Xenopus tropicalis: one gene and its partners. The protein of the gene in region 4 interacts with the protein of the main gene of each other region in a biochemical or structural test. Links are inferred from orthologs where the notes say so. Each region holds a gene or a part of one and is shown on either strand. Other genes may lie near its edges.

Region 1 (4,174 bases), on a different chromosome or scaffold from region 4:
CAGTGAGATTTTTAAGTTGAGCAAATAAAGATATTATTTTTATTGGAAGACTGGCAGCTATTCTTAATTTTTTTTTTTATTTTCACACCTGCCCAATCCCAAAACTGATTCGCAGGCCTCCATACATAAACAGAAAATCATATGAAGATTTGATCTGTAAATGTATTGCCAGCTTTAATTTCACCCAATTTGCTTTACTGGCTCATGGCCAGCACCATTATGTTAAGCAGCGAGTGCCTTGGAAAACACTAGATCCTTTGAGTCCAAGATCCATTTCTGTTGACTACTCCATGGAAAAGAATTGCCACCTGTATAACACCAGGATGCATTTCTTTACATTGCTGCTGTCAAGTATAAATCCCATTTACAATGTAAGAGAATCCAGCCAATCAACCTATTACTAAAATGTTTATCCCACCAGAGGTGCAGGCCAACAAAACCTGCATTACTGCACAGTTCAAATTTTTGAAACCCCACCCGGACCAGTTACCCAATCTGCTAGCACCATTAAACTGGGATTGCTGTTCCTGCAAACCAGAGGTGTCATAATTAAAGGTGGACAAGGTGGGAAAACAAAACAGTAAATAAGAACTGTTTAAAGAACTTGCCCCCCATGGAATGCTGTGCCCTGGAGCCCACTACCAGTGCAGTTGGCAAGGCAAGGGTACACCAAAGCACAAAATGAGCAACTTTCACAATCAGCAAGTTTCCTGGTTCACTCTTGTCTTTAACACTGCATTGTACAACAAGCATATTGAGCATTCCATGAATGCATAGGGAGAAGCATCTAAGTGCAGCGTTCCCTGCACCAGGAACCAATTTTCGGTGCAGGAGGCCATACTAAGGCACACACGGGCATAGTGTACACACGGGCAGAGTGCCCAGGCCTAGACAATATTCATGTCGACTGATCAAAAATCATAGCCAAGCACATATTTAGTAAGCCAGGAAACTCGCTCAATATGTTGTTTGCTGCACTCCAGCATGGCTTGACAGCACCACAGTGGGGGAACTATCCTTCAAAAAATACTACCGTTTTCCTCATCTAGATGTGGGCTCTGTTAGCATTCATCTCTGGTGGGGGAAACAAAATGTTTGTGACAGGTGCCCTTTAATAGGCCTTGACTGTGGTAGAGCCAAATTCTGTTACATTGTTTAATGTGAGAATCAAAAACTCAGAACAGGACAGACCGACACTGCGTACAATGTTAAAGGAACAGTAACACCAAAAAATGAAAGTGTATAAAAGTAACTAAAATATAATGTGCTGCTGCCCTGCACTGGTAAAAGTTGTGTGTTTACCTCAGAAAGTCTACTATAATTTATATAAATAAGCTGCTATGTAGCCATGGGGGCAGCCATTCAAAGGAGAAAAGGTACAGGCACATAGCAGATAACAGATAAAACTATTGTATCCTACAGAGCTTATCTGTTATCTGCTATGTGCCTGTGCCTTTTCTCCTTTTTTCCAGCTTGAATGGCTGCCCCCGTGGCTACACAGCAGCTTATTATATAAACTATAGTAGTGTTACTGTAGCAAACACCCCAGTTTTACCAGTGCAGGGCAACAGTGCATTATATTTTTATTACTTGAAAGCTCTTTCATTTTTTGGTGTTACTGTTCCTTTAAAGGAAAAAGAAAGTCAAAGTCACTTGGGGGTGCCAAAATGTTAGGCACCCCCAAGTGACTTTGACCACCTACCTGGTGCCCCTGTGAGAAGAGAACAGCACCAGCCCGGGGTAGCTGCCGGCGCTTGCTTCTTCCTGATTCGCTGCGCGCGCATGCGCAGTAGAGTAAAAAGCCGAACTTAACCCTTAACGGCTTTTCACTCTACTGCGCATGCGCCCACCGCTGGCATTCCAGCAACGGAAGCCGGAAGCCGGAAGAAGGAAGCGATGAGCTACAGGTGCCCCGGGCTGGTGCTGTTTTCTCCTAACAGGGGCACCAGCCCGGGGTATGAGGTAAGCAGTTAAAGTCACTTGGGGGTGCCTAACATTTTGGCACCCCCAAGTGATTTTGCCTTTCGTTTCCCTTTAAGCAATATATCGCAAAGTTGCTTCGAATTTTCTTTCTTTCCTTAGGCATGATTGTATTTATCGGTTTATGTCCCCTTTCCTACTGTGATTTGCAGTTGCCTTGCACTAGGAGGCCAAATGGAGCTACAGAAATAATAAATCTGCGCCTCCCAACAATGACTCCCCCCCCCCCAGGAAACATAAACATGTTGTGTAGCAGCTGGGCGGCCATATAAATCACTGTGCCAGAGGGAAGGAAGTGGGGGGCATTGAAGGGGACAAGTGCAAATACATTAGGGATGCCACACTGCTGCCTGACAACTGTTGCTAAAGGGAAACTCCACTCCAGATTGTATACAACTTTCCAATACACCTCCATCCAATTGGCTTTAGAGTTATTTGTGATTGGTTTTAAAAGCAATATCTGTGTGCATTCTCTGCACTCCTAGTTCGTATATACAATACATATAATAACTCAGGGTTACACAGTACAGTATATATACATGCTGCAGCCAGGGCAGCTGTACAGAAGCCGCTGAGTGCAGGCAGGCGGGACTTCCTGTGAGGCACAATGACTGACAAACCCTATCAGTACGCGGCACTGGCCACTAGTACCTTACCTGCACGGGTTGTTTGCCCTTTGCCTTAGATCCCGGTTCTGGTGTGGTTGCCATGGAAGCCGAATTACAGCGACCCAAACCCGAGCTACCCCAAATTTCCCGCGCTGCTCTCAACGTCACGTGATCGTGCGCAAAGCATGTCGGGAAAGGTAGTTCAAGCTAGTTGTAGGAGGAACTACAGCACTAAGGTATATGCCAAAGCGGTGTGTGGATGGGCTTAAAGCAGGCGAATTCGCCCTGTGTCCTGCAATAAAATCTTAACATTTTTAAAGGTCCCCCAAATCCAAAGAAATATACGATGTGATACAGCAGTAGCATGCCTCCCAACATTTGAAAAATGAAAAGAGGGACAAAAAGATTTGGCGCGCGCAGCAAGGCAATTTTTTGATCACGCCCCCTTTTGTGGCCACGCCCCAATTACCACACTCCATTTTAAAAAAATACCCCTTTTATATAGATCAAATGGCGGGCGCAGACGAAAATGTGCTATACCCTCATACTGAACGACCTAAGGAAAACAATATAGCAACTCCTACATTAAAATACAAGTATAGAGAGAAGGCAGTCAGTTATAAGTGAGTTATAACTAAGTACCAGTTTTGCCCCCCCATACACAGTACCCCCATACACAGTAGCCCCCCCATACACAGTAGCCCCCCATACACAGTACCCCCCAATACACAGTAGTCTCCCATACACAGTGCCCCCATACACAGTGCCCCCTATACAAAGTAGCCCCCTATACACAGTAGCCCCCTATACACAGTAACCCCCAATACACAGTGCCCCTATAAACAGTAGCCCCTAATACACAGTACCCCCAATACACAGTGTCCCCTTATCACAGTAGCCCCCCATTCACAGTACCTCCCATAGGCGCAGCCTTCGTCTGCGGCTTCGTTATGCTTCTCCTTGTGCAGCGCGACAGGCCCTTTTATAAGGTTGCGCCCCGTGCGTAATGACGTCACACCCACAGGCGCAACCTTATAAAAGGGCCTGTCGCGCTGCACAAGGAGAGGCATAACGAAGCCGCAGAAGGAGCAATGCGGGACATTCATGGAACTATTCGGGACAGCGGGATGCGCCATAAAAAGCGGGACTGTCCCGCGAAAAGCGGGACAGTTGGGGGGTATGCAGTAGTTAACTTCATGCTCTTTTACAAATATAAATAAATGCAATTTTGAGTGTATGCTCCTCACTTCAGATACCTCGTGTCCCAGGTCAAAATAAAGTCCAATAGATTACTCCAAAGTGCCCTCTTCTGCTTTAGACTTAGTGATGAGGTCTTATGAGGAAAAGAAAAAAGAGAAAAAAAATATATATAGTGTAATACTGTTATTACTTCACAATGTGCACTCTCGTGTGCTTTTTAACACCAGTGATGACTTTTACTTATATCACCCTTTTGTGCCCAGTTGTGATATCCCTTTCCGATTGCCAATCTACTTACAGACCCCCTTGGGTTTATATGGCATCCAATTGGTTCGCTTGTAGCTCACGACTCTCTGCTTTCCCACCTCTTAATTTCAGGCAGTGTT
Region 2 (3,514 bases), on a different chromosome or scaffold from region 4:
CCCTTAATTGATGTAAATCCGGTGAAAGTCGTGGGCTCCGAAGGCTGCGTTGCACTTGGGGCACTTGCGCTGCCGGGACTCGTATCGGGTCTTCACGCACTCGAAGCAGAAGACGTGAAAGCACTTGGTGAGGACGGCGTCCTTTTTCCGAGTGTTACAGCAAGGGCAAGTGAGTCGGGCCTGGAAGTGCCGAAGGGGTGGGAAGTACAGAGGAAGGGAGAGAAGGAGAAAGTGTCAGTACCCAGAACACATTGCAAAGCATTTCTTTCTAACCACCACATTATTGCTATAGCCTCTTCCTGTCTGTAGAGCTGACCCGGAGCCATTACAAACCCAGGGCCATTCGCTCTTTGCGGATTTTATTCCAACTTGATGTTCTCAAAGCAACTAATAAATAGTCTTAAGTGCCCTGCCCGACCCACTGCCCCTTACTTACCCTGTACTCTTTAATCTCTTCCTGTAGGATTTGGTCAGCATCTGCATAAACCTCCATCTTCTTCTGCTTTTCCAGTTTCCTTCGCAGCCGAGATACATCCTCCTGTAAAGGCACAAACCCCTGAATAAGTGAAACACACCCAATGGGCCGGATAATAAGGCACTCTCTGTGGGTCAAGCTTCTTACCTGAGCTCTTTTGAGACTAAAGGACTCCTTTTCTTTAGCGCTTCGGTTCTCACATACAAAGTTCTGGGTATCCCTAAGCGTTTCCCCTACATGCTCCATTTGCACTTTCAGGTCTTCGGCGAGCTGGGCTGCCTCGACTGCCTAGAAAGCAACATAAATGTATATAGTTATAATGGCGCAATACGATGAGCTCTTGTTTAGCAGAGGAATCAGAAGCATCAGCAATGAGCATAATTATAAATTATAATTCAGGTCGCTTACCTTCCTCTTGTTCAGTTCCAGTGACTGTGTTCTAAGAGTGACTTCCTTCTCAATGGAAGTCAAAGACGTGTGTAAGAGGCGCTCTCTCTCCTCCAGTTTCTGTACCTGTAACAGCTGAGCATCCACCTGAGACACACACAGCAACAGTGTTACATAATAATAATAACACACACCTTTTGGCACCAAGCAGTAGCGATGTAAAGTGAACAGTATGGCAAAAGGCTCCCTCTAGTGGCCAAAGATCCATTAACCCACTTTAAATGACCCATAGAGAACAAAGAAATGGGAAAAGTACCACAGACCCCCACTGACAGCAAAACCCAAATACAGAAAGTATTGGTTCCTTTCTTGACCCATTTTGCATGTAGCAAGTACCTACCTGGGCTTTCAGCCCTTGCACTTGCTCAGCCAGCTCCTCCTTCTCTTCCCTCAGGAGTTTGTGTATCTGGTTGGATTTGATCCTCTCGGACATCAGTTTGAAGTTGGCGTCGTCCTTCTCACGGAGCTGCTGCATCAGACGAATATTCTGTTCTTGCATGTCCTCAAACGCCTGGCCCGTCACGTCCATCTCTGACAGTAAGGCCTCCTCCTCCTGCGTTTAGAAATGAAATAGGCAGGGTTAATATTTATTTCTACCAGGAATTCCATAGGCCAAATGACATAGGGAACAGGGCCAGGGTGGAGTTAATTGCTCTGTTTAGACAGCATCAAGAGCCCTTTGGCGCTTAGGAGCAGGAATCCAGCACTGTGGGACTAACACAAAGGGGCTCATTCATCAACGATAGGCAAATCTGCCTGTGGGCAGTAACCCATGGCAACCAAACTGTTGTATTTATTGTTTTTTCTGTAGCTGGCTAAAAAAAAAGTCATTCACATAAATGTCCCTATGGGTTAAAGTCCATAGGCAAATTTACCCAGTACTGATAAATGAGCCCCAAGGTGGGCAGACTTAGGTCTTGGCCCTGTTGTCCGTGGCTGCCTGGAAGTATCCCTTGTGCTTATCCTTACACTTCCTTGCTGTATGAAACACATTAAAATAGCAAAGCAGAGTTAAATTGTGACACAATTACTATGTGTCTTTACTCCTAGTGGGAGCAGCCTTTTACCCCCAGTGTTCCTGAGTCTGCTAAGTTGTCTGTATTTCCTAAACAGCCCCTTTGTCTCTTACCTGTTTGGTGGCAGTCAGTTTCCTCTGTAAATGGTCTATTTGTTCCTCAGCCATCTTAATTTTCCTCAGTGCTTCTTCATCTGCAAGTTTCTTCCTCTCCCTCTTGTCTTTCTCCTCAAGAGCTTGCACCCGCGTGCGCTGCTCCTCCATCTGCAATAGAAAGGCAGAAACAGGCACAGAGTGCATGATATAATCCCTTCTATAATACATGTACACAATCAGAATGCAAGAACCTGCACCAATCAGAAACACGTAGATAACCAACAGTGCAACCATCAGCCACGCATGTATTTGTAGGTCAGAGAGACGCACCTCGGCCTTGGTCTTTCTCTCCGCTGCCATCAGCTGCACCTTGTCTCTCTGCTCTTTGGGGGCAGATTTGTACATATCGAGCAGCAGCTTCATCTCTTTCTGGCTCTCCTGGGCCTTCCTGAAAAGGAACATGAACAGTCATGTGAATGGGGTGGGAGGCAGTGTGTTAAATGTAAAGGGTTGATAAATTTGGCTGGTTGGATTGCAACAGTTTATAAACAGAAGCAGGGAAGCAGACAACTGATTATGTGAATAATCCAATGGGAAGGACTGAATGGAAAGCAGGCAGCAGTTGGCGGGGGGAATCGGCAATGTGCAATAACTGGGAAGGAAAAGTTCTCTTACTTGAGCTCTGCCCGGAGCTGTTTCAGAATGTCGCAGTCTTTCCTTTTGCTCTCATCTGTTTTCTGCTTGTCTTTCTCACGCTCCCTTTCCTTTTCCTTGTCTCTTTCCCGATCTTTGTCTCGCTCCCGTTCCGCCTCCCTCTCCCGGGCTTTGGTCCGCTCTGCTGCCTCTTTCTTTTGCTCTTCCTCCTCCTTTTTTACTTCAGGGGTAGTGGGAGTCTCAGGCTCTCGTGGCACGACTGCAAGGGGTTCTTTCTTCACTTCTACTTCTTCCTCTTTGACAGTAACGGGGGTCGTTGGTTCCGATCCTGAAGATCCAGGCTGAGGACAGGGTGGTCCGCCGATTTGAAAACGCAGCTGGGAAAGCAAGGGGCGATAAAGCGGGAACCATAAGAGGGGCAAATCATCAGTTACAAAGTATAAAAGAAGAAAGGTTGCTGTAATAATACAGTCAGGGACTCACTTTCCCATGATCTGAAAACGCAAACTTATATCTGTGGAATGTTCAGCTCTCAAGCTGATCTTGGTTCCCTAGACAAACCCTTGAAATAAAACTGTTGCTTTATAGCCATTTTTTCAGCACGTGCCCATTCCAGTATCAAACAGCGGAACAGGTTCTAGGCCCCGGGCAGTTTCCATTCATGCCAGCTGCAATAGGTCACTCTGGGGAAGCCCCTCTCACCTTGCTCACCTCTGCCTGGGAATCTCGCACCTTGCGCTTGTATCTTTGCACATCTCCCTTCAGTTGGTGGTTGTGGTTTTGGAGGCTTCCAATGAGATGCCGCATCTCCCTATTAATAGGACCTG
Region 3 (3,968 bases), about 59 Mb from region 4:
CCTGCTGGCCCTCCAGTCCCTCCCCCCAAGCATTCCCATCTCTATCTAAGCCATTAGCCCTGCTGGCCCTCCAGTCCCTCCCCCCAAGCATTCCCAGCTCTATCTAAGCCATTAGCCCTGCTGGCCCTCCAGTCCCTCCCCCCAAGCATTCCCAGTTCTATCTAAGCCATTAGCCCTACTGGCCCTCCAGCCCCTCCCACCAAGCATTCCCAGTTCTATCTAAGCCATTAGCCCTACTGGCCCTCCAGCCCCTCCCACCAAGCATTCCCAGTTCTATCTAAGCCATTAGCCCTGCTGGCCCTCCAGTCCCTCCCCCCAAGCATTCCCAGTTCTATCTAAGCCATTAGCCCTGCTGGCCCTCCAGTCCCTCCCCCCCAAGCATTCCCAGCTCTATCTAAGCCATTAGCCCTGCTGGCCCTCCAGTCCCTCCCCCCAAGCATTCCCAGTTCTATCTAAGCCATTAGCCCTACTGGCCCTCCAGCCCCTCCCACCAAGCATTCCCAGTTCTATCTAAGCCATTAGCCCTACTGGCCCTCCAGCCCCTCCCACCAAGCGTTCCCAGTTCTATCTAAGCCATTAGCCCTACTGGCCCTCCAGCCCCTCCCACCAAGCATTCCCAGTTCTATCTAAGCCATTAGCCCTACTGGCCCTCCAGCACCTCCCACCAAGCGTTCCCAGTTCTATCTAAGCCATTAGCCCTGCTGGCCCTCCAGCCCCTCCCAGTTCTAAGCCATTAGCCCTACTGGCCCTCCCACTAAGCGTTCCCAGTTCTATCTAAGCCATTAGCCCTACTGGCCCTCCAGCCCCTCCCACCAAGCGTTCCCAGTTCTATCTAAGCCATTAGCCCTACTGGCCCTCCAGCCCCTCCCAGTTCTATCTAAAACCATTAGCCCTACTGGCCCTCCAGCCCCTCCCACCAAGCATTCCCAGTTCTATCTAAGCCATTAGCCCTACTGGCCCTCCAGCCCCTCCCACCAAGCGTTCCCAGTTCTATCTAAGCCATTAGCCCTACTGGCCCTCCAGCCCCTCCCAGTTCTATCTAAGCCATTAGCCCTACTGGCCCTCCCACCAAGCGTTCCCAGTTCTATCTAAGCCATTAGCCCTACTGGCCCTCCAGCCCCTCCCCCCAAGCATTCCCAGTTCTATCTAAGCCATTAGCCCTACTGGCCCTCCAGCCCCTCCCACCAAGCGTTCCCAGTTCTAGCTAAGCCACTAGCCCTCCAGCCCCTCCCACCAAGCGTTCTCAGTTCTAGCTAAGCCATTAGACACCCCCCCGGCTGCCAGGTTTACTGGGGGCCCAACATAGTTGTTCATGGAGTGAGGGGGGGACCCCACAAAGACACGGGGGGGGGGGGGGGGAGGACCTGGGATGCACAAAACAGTAACTGTGTATAGGGAAAGCTGCCAATCTATACCAGAAGGCACACATCTGTACAGCTGCCCATTCTGATTGGCCCACTCAAAGGCTGCAGTCACATGGCCATAAAGGCCAAGGAGACCCGGAAGAGTTGTCAGCACAAAATCCGCTGATCTGTTGCTTCTCCAACAAGCAATTATATTAGGGCTGCATGTGAGTCTCACGGGATTGGCCGACAGCAGTCACCTGGCCATGCTGAACAATACAGGGGTCTGGGGAGGTCAAAGGTCACTGAAGTTACACAGACTGAAAAGGGTTAAAGCTACTGGGCAGTTTAACCTCCCAGAGAGAAAAAAGTCCCCAGGCCTTGGTTCCACACAGCAGAGGGGCCCCCAGCAACAGTCGAGGAGCCAAACCCTGCAGCCAATAGGAAGAAAGCCCCCCCGAATAACATGCAGCCAGGGAGGGTCTTATACTTACAGCTGCCTCGAGTAGAGACCCTCGTCTATCTCAGCAGAATTCCCGTTCCGAGCCATCCCCTGCAATAAATCCATTGGGTTAATCTGGGGGCCACATTAGAGCCCTCCCCTGCAATAAATCCATTGGGTTAATCTGGGGGCCACATTAGAGCCCTCCCCTGCAATAAATCCATTGGGTTAATCTGGGGGCCACATTAGAGCCCTCCCCTGCAATAAATCCATTGGGTTAATCTGGGGGCCACATTAGAGCCCTCCCCTGCAATAATCCATTGGGTTAATCTGGGGGCCACATTAGAGCCCTCCCCTGCAATAAATCCATTGGGTTAATCTGGGGGCCACATTAGAGCCCTCCCCTGCAATAAATCCATTGGGTTAATCTGGGGGCCACATTAGAGCCCTCCCCTGCAATAAATCCATTGGTTAATCTGGGGGCCACATAGAGCCCTCCCCTGCAATAAATCCATTGGGTTAATCTGGGGGCCACATTAGAGCCCTCCCCTGCAATAAATCCATTGGGTTAATCTCGGGGCCACATTAGAGCCCTCCCCTGCAATAAATCCATTGGGTTAATCTGGGGGCCACATTAGAGCCCTCCCCTGCAATAAATCCATTGGGTTAATCTGGGGGCCACATTAGAGCCCTCCCCTGCAATAAATCCATTGGGTTAATCTCGGGGCCACACTAGAGCCCTCCCCTGCAATAAGCCCATTGGGTTAATCTCGGGGCCACATTACTACTGGCCCCCAGCTAGAAAGCCAAGGGTACAGGTTGACTCTGAGCAAAGTAGAAAGGGGTTAGAATATGGCGGCACAGCCCGGGGGGCACTCACGTTGGCCGGCGCAGTCTGATCGGTGCTCACGGAGTTGGAGGATGAGCAGTTTGAACCCGTCTTTGTCTCAGATCCGGACACGCGACGCTTCTTGGACAGCGGCGAGCTGGACATCTAACCGGGAGAAAAGATCAGGTCAGTGTATGCGGTTGTACAGGGCTGGTACCGTAGCAGGGGCGGGGCACGAGGGACGAGCAAGCAGGGGCGGGGCACGAGCAAGCAGGGGGGGGGCACCAGGGACGAGCAAGCAGGGGCGGGGCACCAGGGACGAGCAAGCAGGGGCGGGGCACCAGGGACGAGCAAGCAGGGTGCGGGGCACCAGGGACGGAGCAAGCAGGGGCGGGGCACCAGGGACGAGCAAGCAGGGGCGGGGCACAGGACGAGCAAGCAGGGGCGGGGCACCAGGGACGAGCAAGCAGGGGGGGCCGGCGAAGGGGGGCACCAGGGACGAGCAAGCAGGGCGGGGCACCAGGACGAGCAAGCAGGGGGGGGCACGAGGGACGAGCAAGCAGGGGCGGGGCACGAGGGACGAGCAAGCAGGGACGGGGCACGAGGGACGAGCAAGCAGGGGCGGGCACGAGGGACGAGCAAGCAGGGGCGGGGCACGAGGGACGAGCAAGCAGGGGCGGGGCACGAGGGACGAGCAAGCAGGGGCGGGGCACGAGGGACGAGCAAGCAGGGGCGGGGCACGAGGGACGAGCAAGCAGGGGCGGGGCACGAGGGACGAGCAAGCAGTGTGCGCAAACACAGAGCAAATACAACAATTTCTGTAACTCTATAATGAATATTATAGAATGTCAGCTCTTGGGCAGAACAAGCAGCTCCTGTTGGGCATTACAAAGCTGCCATGCTGCAGGTATTGCCCCACCTGGGGGTGAGAGAAGGTACAACGGCAGGGAGACGGGGGCAGGCACAGCAGTGAGACTGCAGGAAATTCTACGGTATCTCTGGGGCCCAGGAAGGGTTTGGGGCCCCACCATTTGGCGTTTGCCCCGTATGAAGCCTGGCATAACCTACCCAGCATACTGTACCCCCCCCCCCCCAACATGGGGCAAAGCGGCTTTACACAGGCCTCTCTAGCAGTAGCAGCTGTACTCACACAGTGACACTCACAGGCGCCCAACTCATCCCCACGCAGCCCAATATAATAACACCCCTATACTATTTGTGCCACCCTCGCCGCACAGCTAAACCCCCCGTGGCAGCAGAGCGAGCAATCAAACAGGGTGACCCCCAATGCAATTGGTCTTTATTTCCACGTTTCTGCCCCCAACAACTCAACTCAATGGTACAATGTAACCAG
Region 4 (4,025 bases):
CATTCTGTAGCTACTACAGCAAATAAAGTGCTGTCTTGTATAAAAAAGGGCATTGACTCAAGGGATGAGGACATATTTTTGCCGCTTTATAGGTCCCTGGTAAGGCCTCACCTTGAGTATGCGGTGCAGTTTTGGGCTCCAGTCCTTAAGAAGGATATTAATGAGCTGGAGAGAGTGCAGAGACGTGCAACTAAACTGGTAAAGGGGATGGAAGATTTAAGCTATGAGGTTAGACTGTCGAGGTTGGGGTTGTTTTCTCTGGAAAAGAGGCGCTTGCGAGGGGACATGATTACTCTGTACAAGTACATTAGAGGGGATTATAGGCAGTTGGGGGATGTTCTTTTTTCCCATAAAAACAATCAGCGCACCAGAGGTCACCCCTATAGATTAGAGGAACAGAGCTTCCATTTGAAGCAGCGTAGGTGGTTTTTCACGGTGAGAGCAGTGAGGCTGTGGAATGCCCTTCCTAGTGATGTGGTAATGGCAGACTCTGTTAATGCCTTTAAGAGGGGCCTGGATGAGTTTTTGAACAAGCAGAATATCCAAGGCTATTGTGATACTAATATCTACAGTTAGTATTACTGGTTGTATATATATAGTTTATGTATGTGAGTGTATAGATTGGTTAGTATAGGTTGTGTGCTGGGTTTACTCGGATGGGTTGAACTTGATGGACAATGGTCTTTTTTCAACCCTATGTAACTATGTAACTATGTAACTATGTAATGATTATTATACATACATATGAAAATAGTTCACATTACACATAAATATCTTACGCAACATAGGGAACAACCTAACTCTTAAGCACAAGTCATGACGTTCATCCCACCGTCAATCATAGGTTAGAGGCGTAACATGTGCAACGTCATCTTGTTGGAGCAGCTGTTAGACGACAACACTAACCTGGGCTATACCAAGTTCGCTGTAGGGGGTTTTGGAAACCACATCGCACAATCTAAAACTCGGCCTTTCAGGAAAAGCTCTGCTTATCGCTCATTTCTTGCATGCAAATTAAATTATATTTGTTTTACATTAACATTAGTTCATTTATCAGCGGAGACAGAGTTAGAGTTGGATTCCTCTATTATTACCCTACCCCAGAATGCAGCGACTTTGGCAAGTCTGAGGAAAAGGACTTGTTTTTCTTTCTCCGGCTGTGCGATCACATATCCCTCCGCCAGGGTCGGGAGCTCCCGGAAGAGCGCTGCCGGATCCTGCTGCCGGCCTTCCTAGATTATTGTTATTATTATTATATTGTTAGAGCCCAGCTACCGTCTCTTTTGGCATTAATATCGGCCACAATCGACAGCGATAAGGCCAAGCCCTTTTTAGTGTCTCTGTTTAATTTATTTCCGGTGACGGTGACAAATGTCAACCCCTGCTAGAAGGCGTCTGATGAGAGACTTTAAAAGGTAACCGGGGGAAGAAAACGGAGCTTGCCTATCGCAGGCTGTGTGGGTTTTGGCTGAGGATGGCTATTTTGCGGCCCTTTAACTATTGGTGAAGTGAAACTGCGTCCCCTGTAGTCGGGATTTGTAGTTGAGCAGCAGGAGGGCCACAGCTTGGAAAAATAGGTGCTTAGGTCACTTCCTTGGCGACATGTGTAGGAGGGGTAAGGTACAGGTAAGGGGCGCTTTGGGTTCCCAAACTGTGGGGCTCTGTCCCCTTACCCCCCCCCCCCCCTTCCTCTCTGGGGGTTCCTGAAGCAGTGGGGTACTTAGTATGAAGGCTAGTATGGGTGATATATGGGGAAAATGCTGATTTGGTCTCTTCACTACACCCAAGAGCTCAGTTTAAAGGTCAGGAAGATTTGAGATAAACATGTATTTGCTGTCCTAGATATTCTTGCAACTGTTTCTAAATGACTGATACATATGAACTAAGGGGGCCCTGACCAAAGGTTAGACCTACAAGAAAGGGGGGCACTTGAAATGAAAGTCAGACAATCACTAGGCTAACTTATCTATTTTTTGTTTTACTGGTTTCCAGGCTCCAAGAGGATCCTCCTGCTGGGGTGAGTGGAGCACCCTCTGAGAACAACATAATGGTGTGGAATGCAGTAATATTTGGGTAAGTTCACCCTGGTGGTCATCAAAGTCATCCTTCCCTTGTGTGATCCCTCCTATAATTTTTTGCTACTCAGTCTGGAAAATTATATTAGAGCATCTAAGAATTATAAGTTTCCATTCAGGAAAAATTGAATTTATTTATTTAGGGTGTAAAATACACACACAACCCTAACTGTTATTGGGTGAATCAATTTGGAAGGACCTAGGAGTATCTGTTTTGTGGAATGCAGTGTCTAATCACAGTAGAAATGGGCATAAGGATAAGGCCTTTTAACAAAAGCACAATAAGCAGAAGGGAGGAGAATACAAAGTCCTGGCGAGCCCCTTTTGTTTAGTACACAGTACATTTTTGATCTGCTATATGTTTTATTGAGGATACAGGCAAGTACAATTAAGTTGAAATGTCCAATAACAACAAGATCTGAAAACATTTGAGATACTATATATATATTTTTTTTTAAATAACTAATTCCTCCACCAAAAATGTAGCTGAATGCCAAACCAAAGCTGAGCGCTAATGAGTATTCCTGTACTGTAAAGGATACATATCATATAAAAATTAAGAATGTATGGCAGCTCTCGGTACACTGCATTGTAGGATAGGAACCAATCAGCAGCTAGGGTGACCTGATAGGGAACTGAAGCCTGTCTTTGCTTGTGTGAGCGCAAGGCTGTGATTGGCTATCCCCCTCCTAAGATGCTTCTGGCAGGAACTGTTAGGACACACCGACCCTTTATTTGAAACACGGACAGAGAACTGATAGGATCGATCAGGAGCTCCAATAAAGGGGCCTTTTTACTGATAGTGTTACTTTTTAGCCCAAAGTGAAACCAGCACCTTATTATATTAATAATTGCCTACAAAATTAGGGGTCTTTCCATTTATCCAATATGTCTCCTTTAAGGTTACATGACTTTTAGGGTTGAGATCTGGTTTGGCTTGACTCGTGATTTGGCAGGATCCTACATACATTTTTTTTATTTGGTTCATCCCAGCTTAAACCCATTCCATTCATCACATTACTGCTGTTAATACTCTGTATATGTTTGTTAGTGAACCCTGCTACAAACCCTTAACCTCTACTAGGGTGAGGATTTAGGCCTACTAGTTTTGGTGTATCTCATTGAGCAGATACACCCATTCCTTCTGTCATTGATGTCAGTGGAAGTTACCCACCAGGAACAGGGAATCTTTTTTTATTCATTTAAATAATATAAGGCTGGGAGGGTTGAATTGAGAAATACTATGTGTAACATGGGTTCTTTTCTGGTGTTTCAGTTCCATGCAGCTACCCTGTGTGTGCAGTGATGGGGTTAGGGAATTTAAGTCAATGCTGCATATGTGATTTAAAGCAGCATAAACAAAACCACATACATACTGTGATAATGGCTTAAGCCTTAGAAAAAGTTAGTGCGCTGTACTGCAGAGATCATGTTTATCATGTACTCTGGTGATAAACCTCAAAAATAGGACTCGTATAGAACCATTAGAATTTGAGTGCATGTAAAAAAAAAAAGCAGAAATTCATTCAGCTGCAGTACCCTCTAAAGGTTGCTACAGGCTAAAAGGTGAAATAGGGCCGCTAATAGCATTGGATTGGCAACACTTTTTTTTTTTATCTCAACATTATTTGTGTTTCAGTGCTGCTCTCCGTCATTTAAAGATTGCCAGTCCTGCAATAGAGCAGTAAGGCAATGTTGGCAGGGTAATTTTATAACATTAAGTGATCTTATTCTGACACGATCCAGCAAGTTATCCTAGTAGCAACTGCTTGTGCCCTAGGACACCTAGGCATTGTTTTAAATATAATTTTCAGTTCAACTTCAGTTGGTCTGTCTGCTCACATTTAAAATTACATAAAAAGTGTTTGCAAGACCTCAGAGCATCATGGACAGTGCATATGTAAACAGCTTGACTGGGTGTGTTTCCACTCACTGCATTGCTTATTCTAA
Region 5 (3,514 bases), on a different chromosome or scaffold from region 4:
ACTCTGCATTATCTCGCGTTTTCAACTAAACTAGAATTTAAAAGTTTATATATTGTGATTCCTCACAATCTTGGATTAATATCTGCGGGAAAGCCTTAAATTCTGACCAGACAGCACCCCCTACTGAGTTTTTTAAAGGGATGGTTTACCTTGGAGTTAACTTTTGGTATGTTATAGACTGTCCTATTCTACTAACTTTGCAATTGGTTGTCTGCCTTCCTTTTCTAGCCCTTTTTGTCTTTCAACTTCAGAAAGAACGCAAATGGACATATAAACTTGACTCTCTGGCAATATAATTGTGTCAATATTGTGCTCTCAGCTATATGATTACTTAAGTCCAGACAGGGGACCATAATAATGTCATTGTCCACATATAGCTGCTCAGATGCACATGAACTCACTACTACCATCTACCTTTAGTGGCTGCAACAGATTTACCCCAGATATGTTCTCCTGATGTTACATGACATCTAATTGTGTCAGAATCTAATGATCTGTTTGTGCCAATCATATAACTGGGTAGTACTAGTGCCGGGTCCGGTGAACCTGACCGTGCCAACCAATAGACCCATTTGGTTGCTACTTGCTATGCCCCCGCTTTCTTACTGCTTAAGTACTTGCAGCTTTGTACTGCTACTGTTGCAGAGGGTAGTGCTAATCACAAAAGCAGGTATGCATTTCTGAGGAAGGAGGGGCATCCCCCGAAATGTTGTGTGCAGAGATCTCGATAAACAAAAAAGTTATTTAGCGCAATTGCTGAATTTTGAGTGCCATCTGTAACAGTTCGATGTTGTTACTATGCATTGGGCTCCAGGGCTTACAGATTTGAACACCACATCAACTTTTGAACATTATTTACAATTTGTAAGGATTGTGAAATATTCTCTATGACAACACACTTCAACAATCCTTCCTGCACTGCTATGTGAATGCCGGCTTAACATACGTGCGCTTCCATGACAACACACCTTAGTTTTTATGAGTGTGCTCCGGGTGGAAGTAGTTCTGAGAGGGTCTGACAGACTTAGGTTCCCTGACCAAGTTACAATAATGGGGGAGGATGTGGCACTCCTCAAAAAATTGAGTATACAATGTTGTTCACTTCTAAATGTTGGATACAGACTGCATTCACTCTGATTATTTCACACATGCTATTCTGGCACGATTTCTCTACACTAGGGTATTTAAGTTTGGGTGGAGGGGTAAATTCTGTTTGTGTGTCTTGGGGCTCACAAGAAGAATGAAATGTTGACATTTTGATATATATATACCAAGCAAAAGATACCGCACTCACAGGACTTACTTGAGAAAAAGGTGATTTAATATTCACAACATAGCACTGACGTTTCGGCTGTCTCCACAGCCTTTTTCAAAGAGACAGCCGAAACGTCCGTGCTATGTTGTGAATATTAAATCACCTTTTTCTCAAGTAAGTCCTGTGAGTGCGGTATCTTTTGCTTGGTATACATCTGGAATTTATAATACTGCACCCGGGCATCCAGTGACCTTTAAACGTGAGTGCCGGCTTCTTGAAAGATATATATATATATATATATATATATATATATATATATATATATATATATGTATATATATGTATGTAGAAACAGAATCGCACTCCCAGGACTTGTGAAAACCATACCTTTCTGTAATTTAGGTCTCCATACCTTAAGTCTACAGAAACATCAAACCTAATAGACTCTCCAGTTAGTTATCTACTTATGTGCAAAACATATTATTAAAATGTATGACATGTTTTCTCAAAATTACAAAAAATGTCTATATTTAACATTGTATAAACAAAAACTTATATATTTAACATTATTTTCATTAACCGGTTACAAAAAAACCCACTGACCTCTTGGGACATATTCTGCTGTTTCTCTTGTAGCAAGTTACAAATCTCCTGCAATCGTGCATTCTCATTTGAGAGCAAGGAGTTTAAATCCCTGACAGCCTCTTCCACGTGAGATGGATCTATAGAGAGAGTCGGAAGATACAGGAATAGAGATGTAAAAGTTCTTCAGTGTGGTAATAACAAAATTAAAGCCCAAGAAAAATAAAACTCAAAAAGAATAAAATGGAACAAAAATCATAAAATTGAAAGACTGCTTCCCACCAGTGCTATTCAGTTTCTTGGCAAGATGGTCCAGTTGGTCATGCAGTCGGTCATACACCAAAACAATACGAGAGACTGCACGTCGTGAAGATTCTACACGTTCTTGTAGCTGAGATTCAATTTCTTCACTGCTGCTGCTGGCCAGAGTGGCCAAAAAGGAAAGAGGAGCTTCCCATAGTCCTTCGCCTACAATGAGTTAACCAGTCAGAGATTGTTTGGATTTTAGTTTAAAGGTTCAATACAAAAGAAATAAAAACCCATTTTATGTTACAAAATCTAAAAAGTTTCCTCAGTTTTTTATTTCCACTGAAAACTGATTTACTTAGTGGATATTTATTGTTATAAACATCATCTTTTTGAGAAAATAAATGGTGTTCTTGTTCACCACTATCCCTCCCTACTGCTTACCCCTTTCATTTTCTTTGCGTTCTGGATTGCTGTCAGAATCTGGCTCTGGCTCTGGCAGAACCAATGCTTTGCGTTCTGTCAGAAACTCCCCCAAGTCTTGATCCAAGTCATAACGACCCAAAAAAATGCCAATATTTTCATCAAACTGCAATAAAAGATTTTAAATGAATGAAAAATAAAAGAAATTTAGGGCATAAGCAGAAAAAATGAAAATGTGGCCATTTCAACATGCCTCTTCTATACATCAACAAATAGGTATTCAACCGCACAGCCCTTAGATCAGGCTTGATGCATCAATCCTCGCAAGGCACACCGCTGAGCCATTCAATACAATCCAAATATAGAGGAGAGCACCATAAAGCAGAATTCTGCTAAAATGCTATTTATTTCAGACAAAAAAACACAACATGTTTCGGGCAGTGTGACACACTTGATAAAGGGCGTCACACTGCCCGAAACATGTTGTGTTTTTTGGTCTGAAATAAATAGCATTTTAGCAGAATTCTGCTTTATGGTGCTCTCCTCTATATTTGGAATGCCTCTTCTATACATATGTGTTTGTGGCTTTATAAATATTTATGTGTTATACACTGAGTAATGTGGACTGGACAGTAGTCAAAGAGAAGCAACTGGGGAGAGCATCTACACACAGCATCTGAAGTGATCAGGGCAGAATGTGAGGGCTGCAGACCAGAGGGAAGCCATGATCAACTGGCTAGAGAAAAGGAACCAGACCATCATGTTCTGTGTTTGTGGGTAGCTATAATAAGGTAGACTTCATTATTAATCTGTAACTAATGTAAATATATTGTTTTGTTTTAAATAATCACTTAATTTTAACAGTCAATTGATTTGTTATTCAATAAATTCATTTTATATACACTTATTGGTGTGGATTATTTGTCTGCTTCTCAAAAGAAGCGTAACCCTAGTAAGAGGGGTGATTAATATATTATTATTACATATTTATTTATATAGTCAGAATCT

What was found.
Region 1: the proteins of ube2a (region 4) and rad18 form a complex in vitro, tested with the Homo sapiens proteins (12 studies listed by BioGRID, with this or other methods). The link is inferred for Xenopus tropicalis from reciprocal best matches to the Homo sapiens genes UBE2A and RAD18.
Region 2: the proteins of ube2a (region 4) and rnf40 form a complex in vitro, tested with the Homo sapiens proteins (3 studies listed by BioGRID). The link is inferred for Xenopus tropicalis from reciprocal best matches to the Homo sapiens genes UBE2A and RNF40.
Region 3: of the proteins of ube2a (region 4) and uba1, one has a biochemical effect on the other in vitro, tested with the Homo sapiens proteins (6 studies listed by BioGRID, with this or other methods). The link is inferred for Xenopus tropicalis from reciprocal best matches to the Homo sapiens genes UBE2A and UBA1.
Region 5: the proteins of ube2a (region 4) and rnf20 form a complex in vitro, tested with the Homo sapiens proteins (4 studies listed by BioGRID, with this or other methods). The link is inferred for Xenopus tropicalis from reciprocal best matches to the Homo sapiens genes UBE2A and RNF20.

What each region holds. Positions count from the first base shown.
Region 1 is NC_030680.2:131,548,918-131,553,091, forward strand, and holds the start of rad18 (E3 ubiquitin-protein ligase RAD18), read right to left. Parts: upstream 2,814-4,174; 5' UTR 2,691-2,813; coding exon 2,637-2,690; intron 1-2,636. UniProt on the Homo sapiens protein: E3 ubiquitin-protein ligase involved in postreplication repair of UV-damaged DNA. Postreplication repair functions in gap-filling of a daughter strand on replication of damaged DNA.
Region 2 is NC_030685.2:13,689,765-13,693,278, forward strand, and holds part of rnf40 (E3 ubiquitin-protein ligase BRE1B), read right to left. Parts: intron 3,512-3,514; coding exon 3,390-3,511; intron 3,065-3,389; coding exon 2,709-3,064; intron 2,482-2,708; coding exon 2,364-2,481; intron 2,202-2,363; coding exon 2,052-2,201; intron 1,476-2,051; coding exon 1,263-1,475; intron 1,010-1,262; coding exon 884-1,009; intron 764-883; coding exon 623-763; intron 539-622; coding exon 437-538; intron 181-436; coding exon 4-180; 3' UTR 1-3.
Region 3 is NC_030684.2:525,608-529,575, reverse strand, and holds the start of uba1 (ubiquitin-like modifier-activating enzyme 1), read right to left. Parts: upstream 2,804-3,968; 5' UTR 2,780-2,803; coding exon 2,666-2,779; intron 1,897-2,665; coding exon 1,838-1,896; intron 1-1,837. UniProt on the Homo sapiens protein: Catalyzes the first step in ubiquitin conjugation to mark cellular proteins for degradation through the ubiquitin-proteasome system.
Region 4 is NC_030684.2:59,680,801-59,684,825, forward strand, and holds the start of ube2a (ubiquitin-conjugating enzyme E2 A), read left to right. Parts: upstream 1-1,214; 5' UTR 1,215-1,371; coding exon 1,372-1,415; intron 1,416-1,992; coding exon 1,993-2,073; intron 2,074-4,025. UniProt on the Homo sapiens protein: E2 ubiquitin-conjugating enzyme that accepts ubiquitin from the ubiquitin-activating enzyme E1 and transfers it to a E3 ubiquitin-protein ligase. In vitro catalyzes 'Lys-11', as well as 'Lys-48'-linked polyubiquitination.
Region 5 is NC_030683.2:57,238,130-57,241,643, reverse strand, and holds part of rnf20 (E3 ubiquitin-protein ligase BRE1A), read right to left. Parts: intron 2,673-3,514; coding exon 2,528-2,672; intron 2,306-2,527; coding exon 2,120-2,305; intron 1,978-2,119; coding exon 1,859-1,977; intron 1-1,858. UniProt on the Homo sapiens protein: Component of the RNF20/40 E3 ubiquitin-protein ligase complex that mediates monoubiquitination of 'Lys-120' of histone H2B (H2BK120ub1).